Anolis sagrei: one gene and its partner. Each later gene encodes a partner of the first gene's protein in a complex. Links are inferred from orthologs where the notes say so. Each region holds a gene or a part of one and is shown on either strand. Other genes may lie near its edges. The genes, in order: SYNRG and AFTPH.

The links.
Region 2: SYNRG (region 1) and AFTPH share a complex: the UniProt entries of both Homo sapiens proteins name them as parts of the aftiphilin/p200/gamma-synergin complex. The link is inferred for Anolis sagrei from reciprocal best matches to the Homo sapiens genes SYNRG and AFTPH.

What each region holds. Positions count from the first base shown.
Region 1 is NC_090031.1:24,066,313-24,079,150, reverse strand, and holds the start of SYNRG (synergin gamma), read left to right. Parts: upstream 1-7,940; 5' UTR 7,941-7,984; coding exon 7,985-8,091; intron 8,092-11,835; coding exon 11,836-11,864; intron 11,865-11,963; coding exon 11,964-12,082; intron 12,083-12,838. Other genes in the region: lysophosphatidic acid receptor 1-A-like, read left to right, coding at 1,584-2,549. UniProt on the Homo sapiens protein: Plays a role in endocytosis and/or membrane trafficking at the trans-Golgi network (TGN). May act by linking the adapter protein complex AP-1 to other proteins. Component of clathrin-coated vesicles.
Region 2 is NC_090021.1:153,481,600-153,493,941, forward strand, and holds the start of AFTPH (aftiphilin), read left to right. Parts: upstream 1-5,983; 5' UTR 5,984-6,281; intron 6,282-12,342. UniProt on the Homo sapiens protein: Component of clathrin-coated vesicles.

The DNA of each region.
Region 1 (12,838 bases):
AGGATTAATGTTTAACCCGCAGTTTGGGTAGCGTTGTCGAAACGGTTGTCGAAACAGGAATGGGATGGTTGGGCCTTCCTGCTGGAACATCAAACTCAGCTCAGCGCCCCTGGGATCGGAAGAGTGAAAATTGGTGGTATGTCTTTGGAAGGCAAGGCAAGCGTTACATGAGCGAGAGTGGAGAACCCTTGAGCACTTTGGCAACCCATCAAAGCTGTGGTTTAGAGGGTCTTCTGAAGAAACAGGATCTCCTTGGGCAAGTTCTGGACTTACTTAAGAAGCCGACCACTGGGCTCATGTAAACACCAAGCTTTCTGTTGGACTCAAGGTTCCAGCCTTTCAGTGTTGACTCATGACTCTGGGTCAGACCTTCAGCTCTGACCTTCTACTGAGACTCCTGATTCTGCCTTTAGCTTGGATTCCTGGACCTGACCATCTGCTGGGACTCCTGATTCTGCCTTTAGCTTGGATTCCTGGACCTGACCTTCTGCTGGGACTCCTGATTCTGCCTTTAGCTTGGATTCCTGGGCCCGACCTTCAGCAGGGACTTCTGATTTTGCCTTTAGCTTGGATGCCCAAACCTGACCTTCCGCTGGGACTCCTGATTCTACTTGGATACCTGGACCTGACCTTCTGCTGGGAATCCTGAATCTGCCTTTAGCTTGGATTCCTGGACCTGACTTTCAGCCAGGATTTGTGATTCTGCCTTTAGCTTGGATTCCTGGACCTGACCTTCAGCCGGGACTCCTGATTCTGCCTTTAGCTTGGATTACCTGACCTTCAGCCAAGACTCCTGAACCTGACCTTCAGCCGGGACTTCTGATTCTGCCTTTAGCTTGGATTCCTGGACCTGACCTTCAGCCGGGACTCCAGATTCTGCTTTTAGCTTGGATTCCTGGACCTGACCTTCAGCCAAGACTCCTGAACCTGACCTTCAGCCGGGACTCCCGATTCTGCTTTTAGCTTGGATTACTGGACCTGACCTTCAGCCAAGACTCCTGAACCTGACCTTCAGCCAGGACTCCTGATTCTGCCTTTAGCTTGGATTCCTGGACCTGACCTTCGGCCGGGACTTCTGATTCTGCCTTTAGCTTGGATTCCTGGACCTGACCTTCAGCCGGGACTCCTGATTCTGCCTTTAGCTTGGATTCCTGGACCTGACCTTCAGCCAAGACTCCTGAACCTGACCTTCATCCAGGACTCCTGATTCTGCCTTTAGCTTGGATTCCTGGACCTTGACCTTCGGCCGGGACTTCTGACTCTGCCTTTAGCTTGGATTCCTGGACCTGACCTTCAGCCGGGACTCCCGATTCTGCCTTTAGCTTGGATTTCTGGGCCTGACCTTCAGCCGGGACTCCTGATTCTGCCTTTAGCTTGGATTCCTGAACCTGACCTTCTGCCGGGACTCCAAGTACAGACCTTCCACTTTGACTCCCAATCCTGAGTCCTGGATCCAACCTTCAGCTCCAACTCCCAAGTTCAGACCTTCACAGTTGACTCTTGACTTTGACTTTCTATTGGACCCTTGTCACCCTCCTTCTGGCTCTCTACCTTCCCTCTGTCTTCTGCACTTCATCTCCATCATGACCAGAAACCAGAATTGCCACAACCAGACGGCTCATATCTGGACCAGGGAGCTGGTGCTTTCTTTGGGCATCCCCCACATCATCATGACCATCATTTCTGTGGTCTTCAACTCCGCTGTCATCTTGTCCGTTGTGTGCGCCAAGGATCTGCAGAAGCCCATCTTCCTCCTCTTCTGCAACCTGGCCTTCTCTGACCTCCTCTCCAGTGCCTCGGGCTTCTGGGTTGCCCTCTTCTTCATGCGCGACCCTCAGAGCACTGTGGTCGGCTCCCGCAAGATCCTCCGGCTCTATGCCTTCTACGCCGTGCCCATCCTTGCCACCATCTACAACTTGGTGGCCATTGGCATCGAGCGGTACTTGGCCCTGGCTGAGAAGAGGTGGACGAGGCGACGTATCACACGAAACCAGGTGTTAGGCATCGTGTTGGCGATCTGGTTGGTGGCCCTCTTCCTCGGCTTCATGCCCTTGATGGGGTGGAACTGCTTGGGCACGGACAACGTCTCAACCCTCTACAGTCCACTATGCATCAACTATCTTGCCTTCATCACTATCCCCCACAGCACCGTCTCCTTCATTATCCCATTCTTCACTTACTTGAGCATCATCCTATTCTTGAGGAAGCACAAGGTCTCCATGGGTGCGTTGGGTCAAGCCCGTTCGGTTGGCCGCCTCGCCGAGATCCAAGTGGCACGGACCAGCATCCTGATCTGGATCACGGCCTTGCTATCATACATGCCTTTCTTCGTGGCCGTGGTGCTCGACTTGGCCATGCCGCACTGCCCCACAGACCTCCCGCTGGGCATCTACATCTTCCGGAACCTGACTTCCACGATGATTGCCATCAATTCATTGGGGAACCCCATCATCTACACACTCAATGTGAAACGGTTGGGCCGCAGGATCAAGGCCTTGAAGCAGCCTTCCATCAATCGCATTGATGTTCAGGTTGTTGAGAAGATGTGAGCTCCCTCTGGACAATGACATCAGGCTCGTACGGAGCTGAAGCAAAAAATCTTGAAATATAGAAATACAGGAACAACCACCACTGAAATCAATGGCTATTACAGTGTTCCCTCGCTATTTCACGGTTCGCTTTTCACAGATTCACTGTTTTGCGGTTTTCCTTTTTTGCTACTCACTGGGCCAAGTCCTGGCTCTGCCACCGGGACGTGGCCTGGTGAGTAGCGAGCGAGCAAGGAGGGCGGGTGAGCGAGCGAGAGAGGGCTGGCCTCAAAGTCTGATGTGGCCACAGTGGTCCACGCTCTTGTTACATCCCGAATAGATTACTGCAATGCCCTCTACAGGGGTTGCCTTTGAAGACTGTTCAGAAACTCCAACTAGTCCAACGGACGACAGCTAGATTACTCACTGGAGCATCATACCGGGAGCACATCGCCCTCCTGTTATGTCAGCTCCACTGGCTGCTGGTCCAGTTCTGAGCACAATTCAAAGTGCTGGTCTTGACCTATAAAACCCTATACGGTTCTGGTCCAGCGTATCTGTCCGAATGTATCTCCTCCTACATCCCACCTCAGAGTTTAAGATCTTCTGGCGAGGCCCTACTCTTGGCCTCATCTCTGTCGCAAGTGTGCTTGGCAGGGAAGAGGGACAGGGCCTTCTCGGTGGTGGCTCCCCACCTGTGGAATTCACTCCCTGGTGAAATTAGGTCATCTTCATCCTTCCTCTCCTTTAGAAAGAAGTTAAAAACATGGATGTGAGACCAGGCCTTCAGGTAATCTTGCTGACAATCACAGTGACAATTATGACAATTGCTATGGAAATGGACTATGGACATGCATGATGGAGTCTCTAACTACAGATAAGGCCACCAGGCTGTTATTGAAACAGAAACAGGTTTTAATTAATTAATGTGATTTAATGTTTTAAATGTTTTATTGGATTTTATTATGTATTTTATTATGTGTGCATTGGAGGCATCGAATTGTTGCTGGCTGGAAGCCGCCCTGAGTCGTGTCGGGGTACAAATTCCTGAAATAAATAAATAAATAAATAAATAAATTCCAGGCTCCTGTGTCCCTACTTCACAGATTTTCACTTTTCGCGGGGGGTCTTGGAACGTAACCCCTGTGATAAGTACTCCAAGGGAAGGAAAATGGTCCAGATCCTTAGTCAGTTGGGTTCAATGTGCTCTCTTGATATGGGTGAACTATAACTCCTAAACTCGAAGGCCAATTCCCTCCAAACTAAATTACAAATTAAAAATTGGTCATTCTGAGTCTGTAGGCCAAGTTTGGTTGGTTGGGTGCACAGTAATCTCTGGATACAGGGGAACTATTCCCTCTTTTTTCTTTCCTCCCTTCCCAAAAAAATGAAAGAATGAAGCGCTGCAATTCCCGCTCTGGCCACAGGATGGCAGCAAATGATTGCCCATTGCAGCTGGGGAGTCCTATTGGCTTTAATATTTATTTATCGTTTCATCAGCAACCATACCATTGTATTACAATTCTAACAGAGCAAAACAAACACACAGATTGAAAAGAAAAAGATTTTGCAAATTTGGTAGTTGGTTAAATGTCCTTTGACCAGTATCTGGCCACTTGGAGTGCCTCTGTGTCCTCCATCGTGCATGTGGCTGGGCTCAGGGTGCATTGCAGCAGGTGGTCAGTGGTTTGTTCTTCTCCGCACTCGCATGTTGTGGATTCCACTTTGTGGCCCCATTTCTGAAGATTGGCTCTGCATCTCGTGGTGCCAGAGCGCAGTCTGTTCAGGGCCTTCCAAGTCGCCCAGTCTTCTGTGTGCCCAGGGGGGAAGTCTATCATCTGGTATCACCCATGGATTGAGGTACTGGGTTTGGGCCTGCCACTTTTGGACTCTTGCTTGCTGGGGTGTTCCAGCGAGTGTCTCTGTAGATCTAAGAAAACTATGTCTTGATTTGAGTCGTTGACGTGCTGGATGATACCCAAACGGGGATGAGCTGGAGATGTCTCTGCCTTGGTCCTTTCACTATTGGCTGCTACTTCCCGGCGGATGTCAGGTGGTGCAATACCGGCTAAGCAGTGTAATTTCTCCTGTGGTGTGGGGCGCAGACACCCCGTGATAATGCGGCATGTCTCATTAAGAGCCACATCTACTGTTTTAGTGTGGTGAGATGTGTTCCACACTGGGCATGCGTACTCAGCAGCAGAGTAGCATAGCGCAAGGGCAGATGTCTTCACTGTGTCTGGTTGTGATCCCCAGGTTGTGCCAGTCAGCTTTCGTATGATGTTGTTTCTAGCGCCCACTTTTTGCTTGATGTTCAGGCAGTGCTTCTTGTAGGTCAGAGCACGGTCCAAAGTGACTCCCAGGTATTTGGGTGTGTTGCAATGCTCCAGTGGGATTCCTTCTCAGGTAATCCTCAGAGCTCGGGATGCTTGTCTGTTCTTAAGGTGAAAGGCGCATGTCTGTGTTTTAGATGGATTAGGGATCAGTTGGTTTTCCCTGTAATAGGCAGTAAGAGCACCTAGAGCTTCGGAGAGCTTCTGTTCTACCATCTCAAAGCTCCCTGCTTGAGCAGTAATGGCACGATCATCAGCATAGATGAAACTCTCTGTCCCTTCTGGCAGTGGCTGGTCATTTGTGTAGATGTTGAACATGGATGGAGCAAGCATGCTCCTCTGAGGCAGGCCGTTCTTCTCTTTCCGCCATCTGCTTCTCTGGCCCTGGGACTCAACAAAAAAGCTCCTGTTTTGTAGCAGGTTTCCTATGAGGCGGGTGAGGTGGTCGTCCTTTGTGATATTATACATTTTTCTCAAGAGGAGGCAATGGTTCACAGTATCATAGGCTGCTGACAGGTCTATGAAGACAGCTCCTGTGATCTGCTGCCTTTCAAAGCCATCTTCTATGTGCTGAGTCAGGTTCAGCACTTGCGATGTGCAGCTTTTGCCTTTTCTGAAGCCATCTTGCTGTGGAATCAGACAGGGGTCTATTTTTTCCGCAATTCTATGCAAAATAAGTCTCTCCAGAACTTTGTAGAGGTGGCACAACAGGGAGATTGGTCTGTAGCTTTTTGGGTCATTACGGTCTTTGCCTGGCTTCAAGATGGCGATGACTCTTGCTTTCCTCCAGATTTTGGGGATCTGACAGGATGCAGTGCAGTTGTTCATCAGCTCCAGCAGCCAGCGCCTTGCTTTTGGACCAAAGTTCTTGATTTGTTCCATCCGTAGATCATCCAGGCCAGCTGCTTTGCCATTCTTACATTTGTTGAGAGCCATGTCCAATTCTGTAGATGTAAAAGGTTCATGAAGGTTGTTGAAGGGGCAGAATATCAAGGAGGTGCAATTCCCTTGGTGGCCAGGTGATGGCAGAAAATGATTGCCCATTGCAGCTGGGGAGTCCTATTGGCTTTAATGAAGAGGCAGAATATCAAGGAGGATGCAATTCCCTCTGTGTATACAAATATGCATATGCACATTTATATATACATATATATGTAGGTGTATACATGTATGCATGTGTACATATACACATATACACACATATATGTAGGTGTATATATGCATATAGAGGTAGGTATATACATATATGCATGTGTACACACACATATATACACATATATGTAGGTATCCCTCGTAGACCGAGGATGACGGTCCTCCAAGTGTAGTATCCTGGCAGTGGGTCCGTAGGTGACTGTGGAGCCCTATTCTTGATCTGCATGTTCTCCCACTGTGAGGGCATCGGTTTCCAGGTGGAAAGCGGTCCCGGTCGGGGTTGGCTTGACGCGCCTTCCTCTTGGCACGTTTCTTTCTTTTGCCCTCAATTCGTGCCTCTTCAAATTCTGCAGCACTGCTGGTCACAGCTGACCTCCAACTGGAGTGCTCAAGGGCCAGGGCTTCCCAGTTCTCAGTGTCTATGCCAGAGTTTTGAAGGTTGGCTTTGAGCCCATCTTTCAATCTCTTTTCCTGTCCTCCAACATTCCGCTTTCCGTTCTTGAGTTCAGAACAGAAGGGATATATGCATATAAATGTAGGTGTATACATGTATGTAGGAACCTCCAGTGGCGCAGTAGGTTAAAGCGCTGAGCTGCTGAGCTTGTTGACCAAAAGGTCGCAGGTTCGAATCCTGGGAGCGGCATGATCTCCCGCTGTTAGCCCCAGCTTCTGCCAACCTAGCAGTTTGAAAACATGCAAATGTGAGTAGATCAATAGGTACCTCTCTGGCCTGGAAGGTAAGGGTGCTCCATGCAGTCATGCCAGCCACATGACCTTTGAGGCGTCTATGGACAACGCCGGCTCTTTGGCTTAGAAATGGAGATGAGCACCAGAGTCCCAGAGTTGGACACCATTGGACTTCATGTCAGGGGAAACCTTCACCTTTACTATACATATATGCATGTGTACATATACACACATATATACACATATATGTAGGTATATATACACATAGATGTAGGTCTATACATGTATGCATGTGTACATATACACAGATATAGGTAGGTGTAAATATATATATATGTAGGTGTATACATATATGCATGTGTACATATACACATATAAACGCACATATATGTAGGTGTCTATATACATATATATGTAGTTGTATACATATATGCATGTGTACATATACACATATATGTAGGTGTCTATATACATATATATGTAGGTGTATACATATATGCATGTGTACATATATACATATATGTAGGTATATATACACATACATGTAGGTCTATACATGTATGCATGTGTATATATACAGAGATATAGGTAGGTGTAAATATATATATATATATATGTGTAGGTGTATACATATATGCACGTGTACATATACACACATATACACATATATGTAGGTGTCTATATACATATATATGCAGGTGTATACATGTATGAATATGTACATGTATACATATATGCATGTGTACATATACACATATACTCAAATTTATGTAGGTGCATACATATATGCATGTGTACACGTACACACATATATGTAGGTATTTATATGTAGACATATACACATACGTAAATATATATGAAAACGCATATATGCAGGTGTGTGTATACGTGCATATACATATGTGCATATGTACATATCGTATCCTATCCGATTTGTCCTCTATCCACTCCTTTGAGCTTCATGCAAATCTACCATTTTTCCAAAATATAAGACCTAAACATACAGAAATGTAGAGATGAGTGAAATTAACCTGAGCGGCTGTCAGGCATTGTGGGAACTGAAGTCCAACACGCCTGCTCTCCAGGCTCTCTGTGGGGCTCTTCCTGGTTGTTCAAACTCCAACTCCCAGAATCCTTTGGCGCGCCGGCGAATGGCGAGGCCTGCCGGGAGCTGAAGTCCAAGGCGCCTGAGAGGCCAGGCTGCTTTCGCCCCGCCCCTTTTCCCCGCTTCCGCTCAGGAGGCGAGGAGGCCGGAAGTGAGCGCGCTGACAGGAGCCGGGCAAGATGGCGCTGCGGCCGGGCCTGGGGGCTGGGCCCGGCGCTCCCTCCGCCGCCTCTCCTCCGGCGCCGGGCGGACCGGGAGGAGGAGGAAGGAGCCCCGGCCCGGGCAGGTCAGCAGGCCCAGGCGGGCAGGAGGGAGGCGGGAAGGGAGAGGCTTTGAAGGGAGGAGGCCTTGAAGGGAGAAGGCATTAGATGGAGAAGGCCTTGAAGGGAAGGGAGAAGGCCTCAACAGGAGAAAGCCTTGGAGGGAGAAGGTCTTGAAGGGAGAAAGCCTTGGAGGGAGAGGCTTTGAAGGGAAGGGAGAAGGCCTCGAAAGAAGAAGGTCTTGGAGAGAAAAGGCCTCGGAAGGAGAAAGTCTTGGAGAAGGCCTTGAAGGGGAGAGGCTTTGGAGGGAGAGGGTCTCAAAGGGAGGAGGCCTCGATGGGAAGGGAGAATAATAATAATAATATCGAACTGCAAAGATTCTGGCACAAACCAGTCAAGGTGGTCCCAGTGGTGACTGTCACACTGAGTGCAGTGCCTAAAGACCTTGGCCTGCACTTAAACACAATCGGCACTGACAAAATTATCATCTCTCCGAACGTATTCTCCCCTACGAACCATCAAGATTATTAAGATCATCTGGAGAGGCCCTGCTCTCGGTCCCACCAGCCTCGCAAGCGCACCTGGTGGGGACGAGGGACAGGGCCTTCTCGGTGGTGGCCCCGCGACTCTGGAACTCTCTCCCTCTGGAGGCCAAAACCGCCCCATCCATCCTAACATTTAGGAAACGGGTGAAGACGTGGCTGTGGAGTCAGGCCTTTGAGGAATGAGACAACACCATAGGACCCTGGATGGAAGCTGATGTAGATCCATCTTAATAGGACGACTGACCACTGTAGTTTTATATATAGTGTTTTTAAAGTTGTTTTTGTAATTGTGATATATGATATTTTAATGAGTGTATATGTTTTTTATGGCTGGAAACCGGGCTGAGTCCCTCAATGAGGTTGAGAAGCTCGGTATAGAAAACTGTGAAATAAATAATAAATAAATCTGCCAGCTGCAGAAGGCTACCTTACTGGGATCTGCACGCATTACTTGCCAATACATCACACAGTCCGACGTGTGATCCAATACAACAGCCAGCAGAGTGTCTGCTGTGGACTCATCTTGTTGTGTTTCAAATAATAATCATAATCATATATATATATATATATTGTCATGTCAGGAGCAACCGTTCCTGTTGTGAGAGAATTGGACGTCTGCAAGGACGTTGCCCAGGGGACGCCTGGATGATTTGTGATACTTTATCATCCTTGTGGGAGGCTTCTCTCATGTCCCCACATGAGGAGCTGGAGCTAACAGAGGGAGCTCATCCGCTTCTCCCCGGATTCGAACCTGCGACCTGTCAGTCTTCAGTCCTGCCAGCACAGTGCTTTAACCCACTGCACCACCGGGGGCTCCTAATAATAAAACTTTATTTATACTCCGCCACCATCTCCCCAACGGGCTAACATGAGGCCAATCCCAAAGAATTACAACAAATCAAAACAAAATACATACAGCAATTAATAACATCAAATGAAATATAAACAAAACAACTTAATACAAAATCAACATTTATTTATTTATTTACCGCATTTATATGCCGCCCTTCTCACCCCAAAGGGGACTTAGAGCGGCTTACAAAATATATTTTCACACAATATATTATATTATTAGTATAGAACAATATCAGTATTATATATTACTATATTGCACTATACTGTTATATTGTATAATACACAAAAATGAAATAAGAAAACAAAAATGAGAAGGCCTCGAAGGGAGAAGGCCTTGGATAACCCAGAGGGTTCTTCTTCCCACTGCTTCTTCTTCATCCTGGAAAGAAGTGACAAGCAGAGTGCCACAAGCAGGGTTCCTTCCTGGGCCCAGTCCTGCTCAGGATCTTCATTCATGACTGAGATCCATGGTTCTCAAACTGTGGGTCTCCAGATGGCTGGGATTTCTGGGAATTGTAGGTCAAAACACCTAGGGACCCACAGGTTGAGAACCACTGACTTAGATGAAGGGTTAGAAGGCAGGATCATCGAGTTTGCAGATGACACCAAATTGGGAGAGATAGCCAATAATCCAGAAGACAGGAGCAGGATTCAAAACTATCTTAACAGATTAGAGAGATGAATGGCCAAAACTAACACAATTAAGTTCAACAGGGACAAATGTAAGATACTCCACTTAGGCAGGAAAGAAAGGAAATGCAGAGATACAGAATGGAGGACGAGGCCTGGCTCGACAGCAGGACCTGTGGAAAAGATCTTGGAGTCCTTGTGAGGAGGAAGGGGAACAGGAGCCAAGAACATGATGCAGTGGCAAAAAAGCCAATGGGATTTTGGTCTGCATCAATAGGAGTCTAGTGCCTTGATCCAGGGATGTCATGCTCCCCATGATCTATTCTGCCTTGGTTAGACCGCACGGGAATACTGTGTCCAATTCTGGGCACCACAATTGAAAGGAGATGTTGACAAGCTGGAATGTGTCCAGAGGAAAGCGACTAAAAGGACCAAGGGTCTGGAGAACAAGCCTTATGAGGAGCGGCTTAAAGAGCTGGGCATATTTAGCCTGCAGAAGAGAAAACTGAGAGGAGACGTGATAGCCATGTATAAATAAGTGAGAGGAAGTCATAGGGAGGAGGGAGCAAGCTTATTTTCTGCTGCCCTGGGGATTAGGATACAATGGCTTCAAACTACAAGAAAGTAGATTCCATCTGAACATGAGGAAGAACTTCCTGATTGTGAGAGCCGTTCAGCAGTGGAACTCTCTGCCCCGGAGTGTGGTGGAGGCTCCTTCTTTGGAGGATTTTAAACAGAGGCTGGGTGGCCATCTGTCAGGGATGCTTTGAATGCAATTTTCCTGCTTCTTGGCAGAATGGGGTTGGACTGGATGGCCCATGAGGTCTCTTCCAACTCTAGGATTCTATTATTCTAAGGCCTTGAAGGGAGAAGACCTTGAAGGGAAGGGAGAAGGCCTTTTCTTTAACTTTGGCTATAATTAATAAGAATGGTTTTCCTCCCCTCTTCCTTTATTGATGCTTATAAATAAGTCACGGCTTTTCTAGAAAGCTTTGCATGTTTAATGGCTGGGCCTTTCTTCTCTCACTGCACGAAATGGTAACCGGAGTTGCCTGGCCTGGTTGCGCTTCACAACCAGTTGTGTGCTTGCCTCTTTCAAATAGGTGAGGAAGGTAAGCTTCCATGTTGAGTGAGCGTCAACGCGAACATAATTTCAGCAGGGTGATTTTAATGGACATGTAGATTTAAAGGCTTGAATGAAGGCATGTTAATCTCACTCTGGCATACTTTATGATTAATTCAAGAGTACACATTGCTGTTTTTGATCTGCTAGGTTGGCGGGGAGCTGGGCTGAACGTCAGGAGCTCACCCTGACACAGCTTCGAACTGTCAATCTTCCAGTTGGCAAGATTTACTGTAGCTGGTGATTAACCTACTGTGCTAAAGCTAACCCTCATCATTAAAACAGAGATTAAACACTATTAAAATACAATATACACACAGTTAAAATGCAGGTTAAATGCAGCTAGTTAAAATTGACAGGTTTGGCCTGCCAGAAGACATGGATATTCGGTTACATCTTAAATTCCGACAGCTGATTTAGCTGTTGAATCTTATTATTATTATTTATTATTTCTGGTATTTATAGCCCATCTCTTCTCTACCCCCGAAGGGGGACTCAGGACGACTTACATTGGCAGCAATTCTCTTCGATAGTCATTCCACAGCCTTAGCATTGGATATTAGCTCTGTTTCTCAAATTGTAAACTCATGGCTTTTTCCCCTCCTCTTCTTTTCCAGCTTCATGTTTCCTGGTCTTGGTCCTCAAGGTACGTAGAACAAGGCAGGCACAGTTGAACCTCCATTCCCCTCAACATACCTACTCTGCTTGGCGAGACTCCTAACCTTGTTTTGTTTTCTTGCTGCAGGGATGATCCCCATGCAACAGCAAGGCTTCCCTGTGGTTTCTGTCATGTCGCCCAACATGCAAGGCATGATGGGGATGAATTACGCAGCCCAGATGCCTCCCGGAACGATGGCCATGCAGGTTGGGAGTCACGAGAAAGTTGTATTGTCGAAGGCGTTCATGGCCAGAATCCCTGAGTTGTTGTGTGTTTTCCAGGCTGTCTGGCCATGTCCCAGAAGCATTCTCTCCTGACGTTTTGCCTGCATCTGTGACAGGCATTCTCCAAGGTTGTGAGGTCTGTTGGAAACTAGAAAGTCTACTGTATGGAGTCTACCATATACCATGCAGAAGTGGGCAAGTCTGCATAGGGGCTCCCAAACTCAGCATTCCCCAAACATGAATCAAGGAACATGAAAGGCACTGCTGACTAATAATAATAATAATAATAATAATAATTTTATACCCCGCTCTTCTCACCCCAATGGGACACTCTGGGCGGCTTATGGACCCTGGCATACAATGCCGCATTACACATCTAATAATAAACATGACATAATGATGATGATGATGATGATGATGATTATACTAAATTTATACTCTGCCCTTCTTACCACACATGGCTATTAGGGCTGGGTAACCACGGAAAAATTTGTTTCTAAACTCGATTTGTTTCCAGGGGGCGCTAGTGTTTCCAAATTCTAAATACTTCCGAAATTTTGAGATTTCGAAATTTACGAAATTTTGTATAATTACGAATCGATTCGTTAATGGCGGACGCGATTGCGCAATATGCTAAAAAAACCTCCAAATGGGACAAGGGGAACTTCTGGAGCTTCCCTCTCCCTCTGTTGTTGACTGTTGGTGTGATAATTTATTTTTTATCACTGATAAAACAAA
Region 2 (12,342 bases), on another chromosome or scaffold:
TTGGATCAAAGAAGTAGTGATTAAACTTGCAGTCTGGTTCACTTCGTGGGTGGTGTGGAAAAAATACTTTTTGGCCAAAATTCATCACATTTACTAAATTCCACGGAGTCCTCCACTTTAAAAGTGATAACCCACGGTGTTCATCACATTATGTTATGAATAAGTTTCAATAACTTTAAAGTAGAGGTTCTTTTTATTGCAATTTTCCAGTAAGAGAAAGGCTATCAGAACTTTTACAGAACAACATTTAACATACAGACATACAGATTCTGTGTAACTACATTGAATTCACAAACCTACAGTTACATTGGATAACAAACAAACATTTTTACTCAACATTCACATTTCCCATATACATTCACCCATCATTCATCTTTCACATGCACACATCACCATTTCCTTTCTCCTGCTGTCATCTGGAGAAGAACACCTCTTAGGCCAGACTGCTTCCTTGCAAATCTGCCAAAGCATCAAGCTTCTAAAACGCCAAAATGTCAAAATGCATCATTCCCCTGAGAACATGACTCCAAAATGCACTCTTTTCTCATCCCTTGAGAAAAAGAGCAAGTGCACAAAATCCTGCTTTCCCACAGCAGATCTAACACTCCTAAGGTACACTATCTCTCTCAATCCCAATGGAGCAGAGATTAGAGGGTGAACAGCATCTTTATGTCACAATTTTTGGAATATCAGAAGGTCTCTTATATAGCAATATTTCGCTGATGTTCCAAAAACCTGTAAATGAATGATAGACGTCTTCCATCCTGAAACATGTTGTGTGATGTCGCATGCTGGGCCTGCACATAAGACTGTAGACAGGACATAAATTCTGTGTGCCCAACGGGATGCCGGGGCTTCCTCAGATTAAAGGCCTTTGGATTTCTTTAAACAGAGTCTTTAGATTGCTCAAAGGTTCAACAAAGTTCTTTATTATTGAAATCAAACAGGTACTTCAAGGCTTTCTTAATAGTCTATTGGCTCTCTCAATCTTGTCCACAGGGGACAGGCACTATCTTCATAACTATATTTTAACTAATGGGGAAATCCTTAACCTCTTATCTGGGCAGTCTGTCTTTGCCTCTGTTGCCGTGGAGCCCCTACACCAACTGCTTCTGGCTTCCGCGAGTGACCCTTACCAAGCAGAGCTTTGTAGACTTCCAGGGGAAAAGAAGATATTCAGGTTTCAGTGATGGCTGGCTGAAGTGCTGTGGGACCAGATTCCCTCAGCAAAGGGACTGTAAGGCTGTAAAATCCTCAGCAAAAGAGCTGTGCTGAGACTGCATCTCTCTGGTCAAGCTATGGGGCGGTATACCCCAGACCAAGCTGTAAAAGATGAAGCTTTCTACAGGAGCTCCTGGTTTTATGTCCTGTTTGAAAGGCTTCTGTGTGTGGACTGACCCAAAATGGCTCCTATTCCCTCCAAAACCCCAAAAGGGGCGGGACCAGGGAACCAAACAATAATTGACAGGTCATAGATCCAATAAATGCAAACTAAGGAAAGCCATCTAACTGCAAAGGCATAGAACTTTAAAATACATGCAGTAATCAACAAATAGCAAGATAAGCTGGAGCTCCTGGTGCGGTTGTCCCAGAACATGTTGATTGCATCTCAGTTTACTCTTCTGGTAACAAACCATTGTGTCTTGAAAGAGCATTTGCTTTGACTAATGTAAACAGAGGTAATTTCTCTTAGAGTTAATCCAGTTTTAGTCAGCAAATGTTGACAAATGTAAACAGACGTAAACATTTTTCTTATCACTGTCACAGTTCTTATCACAGTTTACCATTTCAGTTCTCATTAGCAGGTTTTAATTGCAATTCATCAAACAGGTTTAATCATTTCAGGCCTTAATCTTCAGAATGGTGTCTCCAAAATTATTAGCGGTCATTCATTCATCTTCCATATAATTCATTCAGACTATAGATCGTATTCCATCGTAACATTCTGTTGGGCTCAAGTGTGGGGTACAGCATTTTTTCTGTGTCTAAAGCATTGGGAACTGCTTTCTTTTCAGGAGCTAGTTGGGAAGTGGATTTTTGGGGAAGAATTTAGATGTAATGGGCAAAATGGTCACTTCTGTAATATGATGATGTGCAGGTACAGCTGTTCCAGGAGCTCCAATTTTGTTTGCTTTGCATTGAATGTTTGTTATAGTCCTAAGTTTCAGGGACTCTGCAAATAGGTGGCTTCTTTTGGCTGCAATCATAGGGCAAGCCATCTGTCAATTATAATTAGGTTCCCTGGTCCCACCCCCTTTTTGGGTTTTTGGAGGGAATAGGAGCCTTTTTGGGTCAGTCCACACAGAGAAGCTTTCCATGCAGGACATAATACCAAGAGCTCCTGTAGAAAGCTTCGTCTTCTACTGCTTGGCCGGGGTTATACAGCCCACAGCTTGGCCGAGGATCATACAGCCCTACAGCTCCTTTGCTGAAGGACTTCAGTCAGCCATCACAGAAGCCTGAATTCTTTTCCCCTGGAAGTCTACAAAGCTCTGCTTGGTAAGGGTCTCTCGCGGAAGCCAGAAGCAGTTGGTACCGGGTGTAGGGGCTCCACGCCAACAGAGGCAAAGAAAGACTGCCCAGATTAGAAGTTAAGGATTTCCCTATTAGTTAGTATACAGTTATGAAGATAGTGCCTGTTCCTTGTGGACAAGATTGAGAGAGCCAATAGACAGTTAAGAAAGCTTTAAAGTACCTGTTTGTTTTCATCAATAAAGAACTTTGTTGAACCTTTAAGCATTCTAGAGACTGTGTTTTAAGGAAATCCAAGGGCCTTTAATCTGAAGCAGCCCTGGCGTCCCGTTGGGCACACGGAATTTATGTCCTGTCTACAGTCTGATGCACAGGCCCAGCGTGCGACAGCACAGATGGCATTCATTCTTCTCAGATGGGATTTGCAGTACCTGGGCTAAACATGGCACAGAGAAGCCCCCTGACCAACTAAATATACTGGAATTGTTTGGGGGTAATTGACCTTGATTTTGGGGTGTTGTAGTAAACCTGTATCCAGAGATACTGTAGCCCCTACCAACAATGGACTGGGACACATTGGTGATATGCTTTTCAGACATATATAATTTCATGACAAATTTGGTTTTACTAACAAACTGGAGGCTAAACAAATCCCTCATAAGAGATACGGTCACATACATAAATTACAATAACGGAATGTATGGGGACACAGTATATGTCATGAAAACCTTTAATTTATGTTTTTTTTAAAAAAAAATTTTCAAGATAATTACATATATTTCCAATATGTTTGTCATCTCTTGTTATGTTCATGCGACACTTGCAGCCAACACACTCAGCTATAGGGCATCATATACAACTTTTCTTAGCATATCTCATGATATTATCACCTGTCCTTGCACGACTATGCAGAGCTGGGAAGAGCTATTGCAATGTCTAGTAACAAATCATATGAATCTTTACTGCGTTTTCCCCTTCGCTTAAGAGTTTTGTTATTCATACAGACAGGTTGTAGTTCTGTGCAGTAATATTTATGAAAGCCTCTGGCTTACAACACAACTCTCTTCTTTCTTACAGGATACATTTAGACTTAGGTTGCCATCTTGTGGCTTTGTAGTATGAGAACAGTCATAATTATTTCAAAGATTTGCAGGTTTACCCAGTAACAACATTTTTTTAATAAGCAGGAACCCCAACTTATATTATCATCTGGTAGTTTATTATCATAATCCTTTGTCTATGAGGCACACAAGCTTGTTTGAATACCAGTAATGCCTAGTTACTGCATGACTCTTTTTCACATGTAAATGTGGGCATAATGCCGTAGAAGTTAGTGGTCACACAATTTGCACCAGGAGTAAAGCTTTCCTGTATTTGTACCAATACCTGACCTATCTATGGGACATTTCACAATCACTCAAAATGTCCTGACTCAAAATGCCTCTACAGCTTTTGCATAAAATGTCCTTCAACATTCTTCATGGAAGACATGTCTGTGACAGACGTGTCTAGTATTTAAACGGTCAATTAAAGCCAAATTCATAGAATCATAGAATTGGAAGTGACCTCGTGGGCCATCCAGTCCAACCCCTGCCAAGAAGCAGGACAAATAAGTTAAAGTTGGCTAAAAACAGCAAGATTGTGAGTGACAACACATTGTGTTCTAAATAATAAATGAATGATAGCCCATCAACCAAATGTACTATCCATTTACAAAAGGCTTGCACAGCCTGTGGCCTTCCAGGTGTTTGGGACTCCAGCTCCCAGAAGCCCTAGCCAACTTGTCCAGTGGTCAGGGATTCTGGGATCTGAAGTTCAAAACACCTGGAGGGCCATAGGCTGTGTAGGCTTGATTTAGAGCAGGGGTCCTCAAACTAAAGCCTTTGGGCTGGATATGGCCCTCCAAGGTCATTTACCCAGCCCTCGGTCAGGATCAACCTAAGTCTGAAACAACTTGAAAGCACACAACAACAACACTATCTCATCAGCCAAAAGCAGGCCCACACTTCCCATTGAAATACTAATAAGTTTATATTTGTTAAAATTGTTCATTTTAATTATTGTATTTTAAGTGTTCTTTGCACTACAGATATGTGCAGTGTGCATAGGAATTCGTTCATTTTTTTCCAAATTATAATCTGGCCCTCCAACAGTTTGAGGGTCTGTGACCTGGCCCTCTGTTTAAAAAGTTTGAGGACCCCTGATTTACAGCATTCTGTAAAACGAGTATAAAGCTTATCAAATCTCTTTATCTCACTAAATATTTGCTTCATAAATTACTTTAGAATAGAATAAGTTTACTGGGTGTGACTGTTTCAAATGACCACCCTGATTAGCATTTGATTGCTTGGCAGTGCCTGGAGTAATCTTTTGTTAAGTGATTAGATGTCCTTGTTTGTGTCCTCCCTGGGTTGTTGTAGGTTTTTTCAGGCTGTATGGCCATGGTTTAGAGGCATTCTCTCCTGACGTTTCACCTGCATTTATGGCAAGCATCCTGAGAGGTAGTGAGGTCTGTTGAAACTAGGCAAAAGGGTTTATATATCTGTGGAATGACCAGGGTGAGACAAAGGACTCTTGTCTTCTGGAGCTAGGTGTGAATGTTTCAACTGACCACCTTGATTAGCATTTGATTGCCTAGCAGTGCCTGGAGTAATCTTTTGTTGAGAGGTGATTAGATGTCCTTGTTTGTTTCCTCTCTGTTGTTGTGCTCTTCTAATTTTATTTATTTATTTATTTAGGGTATTTCTACCCCGCCCTTCTCAACCCCGGGAGGGACGGGACGGGGATGGGGACTCAGGGCGGCATACAGAGGCACAATTCAATGCTGACATCAACATAAACAATAAAATAAAACATGAATAACAGCAATTAAACAATTAAAACATCACATCAATAAATCCATTCTAACGCTCAGCGTTCAGTGTTCGCCATCTCATAGTCCGTAAATTCAATTCCACATCATCAATTCTAGTTGTCGATTGTCCTTGTCTCACTGCTAGATTGCCCGAACGCCTGGTCCCACAACCATGTTTTCAACTTCCTTCTGAAGGAAAAGAGGGATGTTGATGACCTGATTTCCCCAGGGAGTGAATTCCACAGGTGAGGGGCCACCACCGAGAAGGCCCTGGTAGCCAGATTTTGTTCATTTTAGAGTTTTTTAATACTGGTAGCCAGATTTTTGTTCATTTTCATGGTTTCCTCCTTTCTGTTGAAATTGTCCACATGCTTGTGGATTTCAATGGCTTCTCTGTGTAGTCTGACATGGTGGTTGTGAGAGTGGTCCAGCATTTCTGTGATCTCGAATAATATGCTGTGTCCAGGTTGGTTCATCTCTGCTCTGCTATGGCTGACTTCTCTGACTGAAGTAGTCAGCGCTAACTTGAAGGAACCTCAAAATCTAGACGTGAAAGGGCGAGCGTGGTTCCTCTCTCTGCCCACTAGGGGGCGGGGGTGTATGTGTGTGCGGAAACATCCCGGAAGCGGAAGTTGACGCCGTGGCGGCGAGCAGCTGGGCGAGGGCGTGAACCTTCCGCCGACCAAGCCCGCGCGCCGCTGCCGGAAGCGACGTCCGCGCGCCCGCCGAGGATGTGGCGGAGAGGGCAGCCTTGAGCTTGCGTTGCATGCCGGGAAGCGGTGGGCTGAGTCGGGCGCCTGAGCCGGGCGAGACCAAGGAAGGAAGGAAGCGGGGGAGGGCAGAGAAAGAGAGAGAAAGAGAGATGGACTCGCCCTGAGGGCCGTTGCCATGTCCGGCCCCGCTTTAGGAGAAGGCTCGCCCTCCCGCCGCCCTCGGGTTTCGGAGGCACAGCAAGGTAAGGCGGCTTTCCCACAGGAGACCCTTCGAGGCCAGGAAGACGGAAGCCGCGCAGGCCTCCCTCCTTTCACTTTCTCCATGGCAACGGGGACGCCCCCTCCTGCCTCCCGCTCCCCCCAGAGTGAGTCCCCTGGAAGAGGCCTACTCCCCTCAGGAGTGGGAGGACTGGCTCTGCGGCTTCGAAGCAGAAGGTCCGGCTGGGAGTGGGGCCAAAGGGGAAGCCAGGGGTGGGGAGCGGTTGCTCCGCCTTTGCCTTTGGCCCCTTCCACACAGCTCAATACAATCCCACATTATCTGTGATATACAGGTGTGGACTCAGATAACCCAGTTTAAAGCAGATACTGTGGGGTTTTCTGCCTTAATATTCTGGGATATATGGCTGTGGGGAAGGGCCCTATGTCTCTGAAAAGGGGAAGCAAGGGATGATAGGGAAATGTCCAATTTGCCAGAACGATGCACTTTTTGAGCAGGAGTAATAATAATAATAATATCACTTTATTTGTACCCCGCTACCATCTCCCCAAGGGACTCGGTGCAGCTTACATGAGGCCAAGCCCAAATACAACAATACAAGTAATAATAACAACAATACAAGCAATTAAAATAAACATGGACAATACAATAATGCAACATTAACAATAAGACCACACGATTAAAAACTATGGGAAGAAGATGTTGGGTTTCTTTTAGTCTTGGTTTCATGTTGTCTCAGTTCTCCAACCCAAACCGATATTATTATTTACTAGCCGTTCCCTGCCACGCGTTGCTGTGGCCCACATGGGGGTTCTGTGTGGGAGGTTTGGCCCAGTTCTCTCGTTGGTGGGATTCAGAATGCTCTGTGATTGCAAGTGAGCTATAAATCCCAGCAACTACAACTCCCAAATGTCAAGATTCTATTTTCCCCAAACTCCACCAGTGTTCACATTTGGGCATATTGAGTATTCGTGTAGATCTAGGGAAGTAATGCTACCCCTCTACTCCGCTTTGGTTAGACCACACCTGGAATATTGTGTCCAATTCTGGGCACCACAATTCAAGACAGATATTGACAAGCTGGAATGTGTCGAGAGGAGGGCGACTAAAACGATCAAGGGTCTGGAGAACAAGCCCTATGAGGAGCGGCTTAAGGAGCTGGCATGTTTAGCCTGAAGAAGAGAAGGCTGAGAGGAGATATGATAGCCATGTATAAATATGTGAGAGGAAGCCACAGGGAGGAGGGAGCAAGCTTGTTTACTGCTTCCATGGAGATTAGGCTTTTGTGGCTGGAATCACTGGGTTCTTGTAGGTTTTTGGGCTATATGTCCATGTTCCAGAAGCATTCTCTCCTGATGTTTTGCCTGCATCTATGGCAAGCACCCTCAGACCTCACTACCTCTGAGGATGCTTGCCATAGATGCAGGTGAAAGGTCAGGGGAGAATGCTTCTGGAACATGGCCATATAGGCCGAAAAACCTACAAGAACCCAAACAACATATAAATCAACAAAATAGATAAAACAACATCAATATAAGCTTATAATAAATAACCAATAATGAACATAATATATCACCTTACACACATTTACCAACTGCCCATCATTCGTAATCCATTGTCCCCCAAACTATACCAGGACATGAAGTGGGTCACAAAGTTGTCTGTACCCTAAGTTTGGTCCAGGGTTGTCATTTGTAGGGGTTGCAGTGGTCTGTGAAAGTGAGTACTGCAAATCCCATCATCCTCACCCAAACTACACCAGGACGTAAAGTGGGTAATAAACACAAACAAAATTTCAATTCAGTTACAGTCTATCAAAACATATTCAATATTCTGACTAGATCTTAAAAACATTTCTTTCTTTAAAAGCCTGCCTGAAGAAAAAGGTTTTAGCCTGCTGCCGGAAGGACAGCAGGGAGAGGGCTGTTCTGACTTCCCTGGGGAAAGGGGAGTTCCAGAGTTGAGGGGCAGCCACCAAGAAGGAAGGCCCACTCTCTTTCTCACCAACTGAGCTTGAGATGGAGGTGGAACCAAGCGAAGGACCTCTCCTGAAGATCTCAGGGATGGGCAGGTTCATACAAGGGGATGCAGTTGGCCAAATAGCCTCAACCTGAACCATCTAGGGCTGTAAAGGTCATCACCAGCACTTTAAATTGTACCTGGAAACAGACTGGCAGCCAGTAGAACTGCTGCAACAGGCGGGTTGTCCGCCAACTGTAGCCAGCCGCAGTCAGCAAGCTGGCTGCAGCTCTTTGAACGAACTGAAGTTTCTGAGCACTCTTCAGAGGCAGCCCCACATACAGTGTGTTACAGTAATCCAGACGGGATGTCTGGATTACTTCATCTTGGGAATCTCACCTGAAAGTACATGTCTTCCTTGTTTACCTATTTTCTGTCCCTATCCCTTTAGCGAGGAACAGCGATGGAGTTGGAAGAGACTTCCTGGGCCACCTAGTCCAACCCCCTGCCATGCAGTAAAAACCCCAAAATTCCCCTGACAGATGGCTACCCAGCCTCTGTTTAAAAGTTTCCAGGGAAGGAGCTTCCATCACACTCCGAGGTAGAGAATTCCATTGCTGAACACCTTTTACAGTCAGGAAGTTCTTCCTAATGTTCAGGTGGAATCTCTTCCTGGAATTTGAACCCATTGCTCCGAGTCCTAGTTTCCAAGGCAGCAGAATACAAGCCTGCTGCCTCTTCCTTATGTCATCATTTCAAATATTTATACATGGCTATCATGTCTCCTCTCTCCCTTCTCTTCTGTAGGCTAAACATTCCCAACTCTTTAAGATGCTCCTCATAGGGATCAATGGTCTCCAGACCTTTGATCATTTTAGTTGCCCTCCTTTGGACACCTTCCAGCTTGTCAATATCTCCTTTGATCTGTGTGCCCAGAACTGGGCACAGTATTCCAGGTGAGATTTGAACAAAACAGAATAGAGGGGCTCCATGATTTCCTTCAATCTAGACACTTTATTTCTTTTGATGCAGCTCATTGACTTTTTAGCTGCTTCATCACATAATACAGTATATGACACTACTCATGTATAGGTTTTTTTACTCCATAGGTAAGGGTTGCTAGGCTGCATTAAAGGGGATTACTACTCCTATGCCCCATTGCAGACATTTTTTACAGCATTGTTTTTAAAACCGTGAGTCCTGTTAGCTCAATGTTGAGGCCCTGGAAAATTTAGCAATAATAAATATTTTCTTGTTGCACAGTGGCAGTTTTATATGTTTACACTAATCTCTTGTGCAGTGTTTACAGTGGACTATGCAGAATGTGGTTCAACTATATAAGCAGTCCTTGAGTGACAAACACCCAATTTACAAACAACACATAGTAACATTATATACAGTTTGTCTATATCCACAGTTTGTTGTCTTTTTACTGAAGAAGTTTTTATCAGTAGGGGTTTTATAGATAGTTTATAGTTTGTTTTATATAAACTTTGAGTGAAAATGTTTATTGTTCTGTTTTATATGTTTATGTACCTAATGTATTCTCTGTGTTATTGCACTATTGAGTGTTTTTGTGAGCTGCCCTAAGTCCGTTTGGGGAGATGGTGGCAGAATACAAATAAAGTTTATTTATTTATTTTATTTAGTTAAGAACGAGGGTGAGACAACAGGAAGTGAGAGAATTCTATCTCTCTGAAGGGAATTTCACTCCTGAAGGAATTATCATGGAGAAAAAGTGTTTCCACTGAAGCTGTATCACCATTGTTTGCACAACAAGCCAATTTTTCAAAATCCAATTCTCATAGGGATAGAAAATGAGGTGAAATCTTCTCTGACAGGGGCACAGACAGCAAAAGAAAAACTACAGAGCTGTTAACCCTTCCCTATACTATCCAAAGCTGGTACATATGTGTGTGTGTGTGTGTATGTATGCGTAGTAGATAGTCTGTGTTGTTGTTCATTCGTTCAGTCGTCTCCGACTCTTCGTGACCTCATGGACCAGCCCACGCCAGAGCTCCCTATCGGCAGTTACCACCCCCAGCTCCCTCAAGGTCAGTCCAGTCACTTCAAGGATGCCATCCATCCATCTTGCCCTTGGTCGGCCCCTCTTCCTTTTGCCTTCCACTTTCCCCAGCATAATTGTCTTCTCTAGGCTTTCCTGTCTCCTCATGATGTGGCCAAAGTACTTCAACTTTGTCTCTAGTATCTTTCCCTCCAGTGAGCAGTCGGGCTTTATTTCCTGGAGGATGGACTGGTTGGATCTTCTCGCAGTCCAAGGCACTCTCAGAACTTTCCTCCAACACCACAGCTCAAAAGCATCGATCTTCCTTCGCTCAGCCTTCCCTATGGTCCAGCTCTCACATCCGTAGGTTACTACAGGGAATACCATGGCTTTGACTATGCGGATCTTTGTTGCCAGTCTGATGTCTCTACTCTTTACTATTTTATCGAGATTGGACATTGCTCTCCTCCCAAGAAGTAAGCGTCTTCTGATTTCCTGGCCACAGTCTGCATCTGCAGTAATCTTTGCACCTAGAAATACAAAGTCTGTCACGGCCTCCACGGTTTCTCCCTCTATTTTCCAGTTGTCAATCATTCTTGTTGCCATAATCTTGGTTTTTTGACGTTTAGCTGCAACCCGGCTTTTGCGCTTTCTTCTTTCACCTTGATTAGAAGGCTCCTCAGCTCCTCCTCGCTTTCGGCCATCAGAGTGGTGTCATCTGCATATCTGAGGTTGTTAATGTTTCTTCCAGCAATTTTCACCCCAGCTTTGCATTCATCCAGCCCCGCACATCGCATGATGTGTTCTGCATACAAGTTAAAAAGGTTGGGTGAGAGGATGCAGCCTTGCCGGACGCCTTTCCCAATCTTGAACCAGTCTGTTGTTCCGTGGTCAGTTCTTACTGTTGCTACTTGGTCCTTGTACAGATTCCTCAGGAGAGAGACAAGGTGGCTTGGGATGCCCATCCCACCAAGAACTTGCCACAATTTATTATGATCCACACAGTCAAAGGCTTTAGAATAGTCAATGAAGCAGAAGTAGATGTTTTTCTGAAACTCCCTGCCTTTCTCCATTATCCAGCGGATATTGGCAATTTGGTCTCTCGTTCCTCTACCTTTTCTAAACCCAGCTTGAACATCTGGCAACTCTCGCTCCATGTATTGCTGGAGTCTTCCTTGCAGGATCTTGAGCATTACCTTACTGGCATGAGAAATAAGGGCCACTGTACGGAAGTTGGAGCAGTCTTTCGCATTTCCCTTTTTTGGTATGGGGATATAAGTTGATTTTTTCCAGTCTGATGGCCATTCTTGTGTTTTCCATATTTGCTGGCAAATGGCATGCATCACCTTGACAGCATCATCTTTTAAGATTTTAAACAGTTCAGCTGGGATCCCGTCGTCTCCTGCTGCCTTGTTGTTAGCAATGCTTCTTAAGGCCCATTCAACCTCACTCCTCAGGATGTCTGGTTCTAATTCATTCACCATACCGTCATAACTATCCTCAATATTATTATCCTTCCTATACAGATCTTCTGTATAGTCTCGCCACCTTCTCTTGATCTCTTCAGCTTCTGTTAGGTCCCTGCCATCTTTGTTTCTTATCATACCAATTTTTGCCTGAAATTTACCTCCAATGTTTCTAATTTTCTGGAAGAGGTCTCTTGTCCTTCCTATTCTGTTGTCTTCTTCCACTTCCATGCATTGCTTATTTAAAAATAGTTCCTTATCTCTTCTGGCTAACCTCTGGAATTGCGCATTTAACTGGGCATATCTCCCCTTATCCCTGTTTCCTTTTGCTTTCCTCCTTTCTTGGGCTACTTCCAGTGTCTCAGCAGACAACCATTTTGCCTTCTTGGTTTTCTTTTTCTTTGGGACGTACTTTGTTGCCGCCTCCTGAACAATGTCTCGGACTTCTGTCCATAGTTCTTAGATAGTCTGTAACTACACTAAAATAATGAACCTGTTCTGACTTACATACAGATTCAATTTAAGAACAGACCCCCAGAACCTATCTTGTTTGTCACACAGGAACTGCCTGTACTTCATTTTAAAAAATCAGCCTGTTTAGCAAGCCTTGCAAATCAGTAAACATTTGATTTTTATATCTGTTTTGTATACCTATA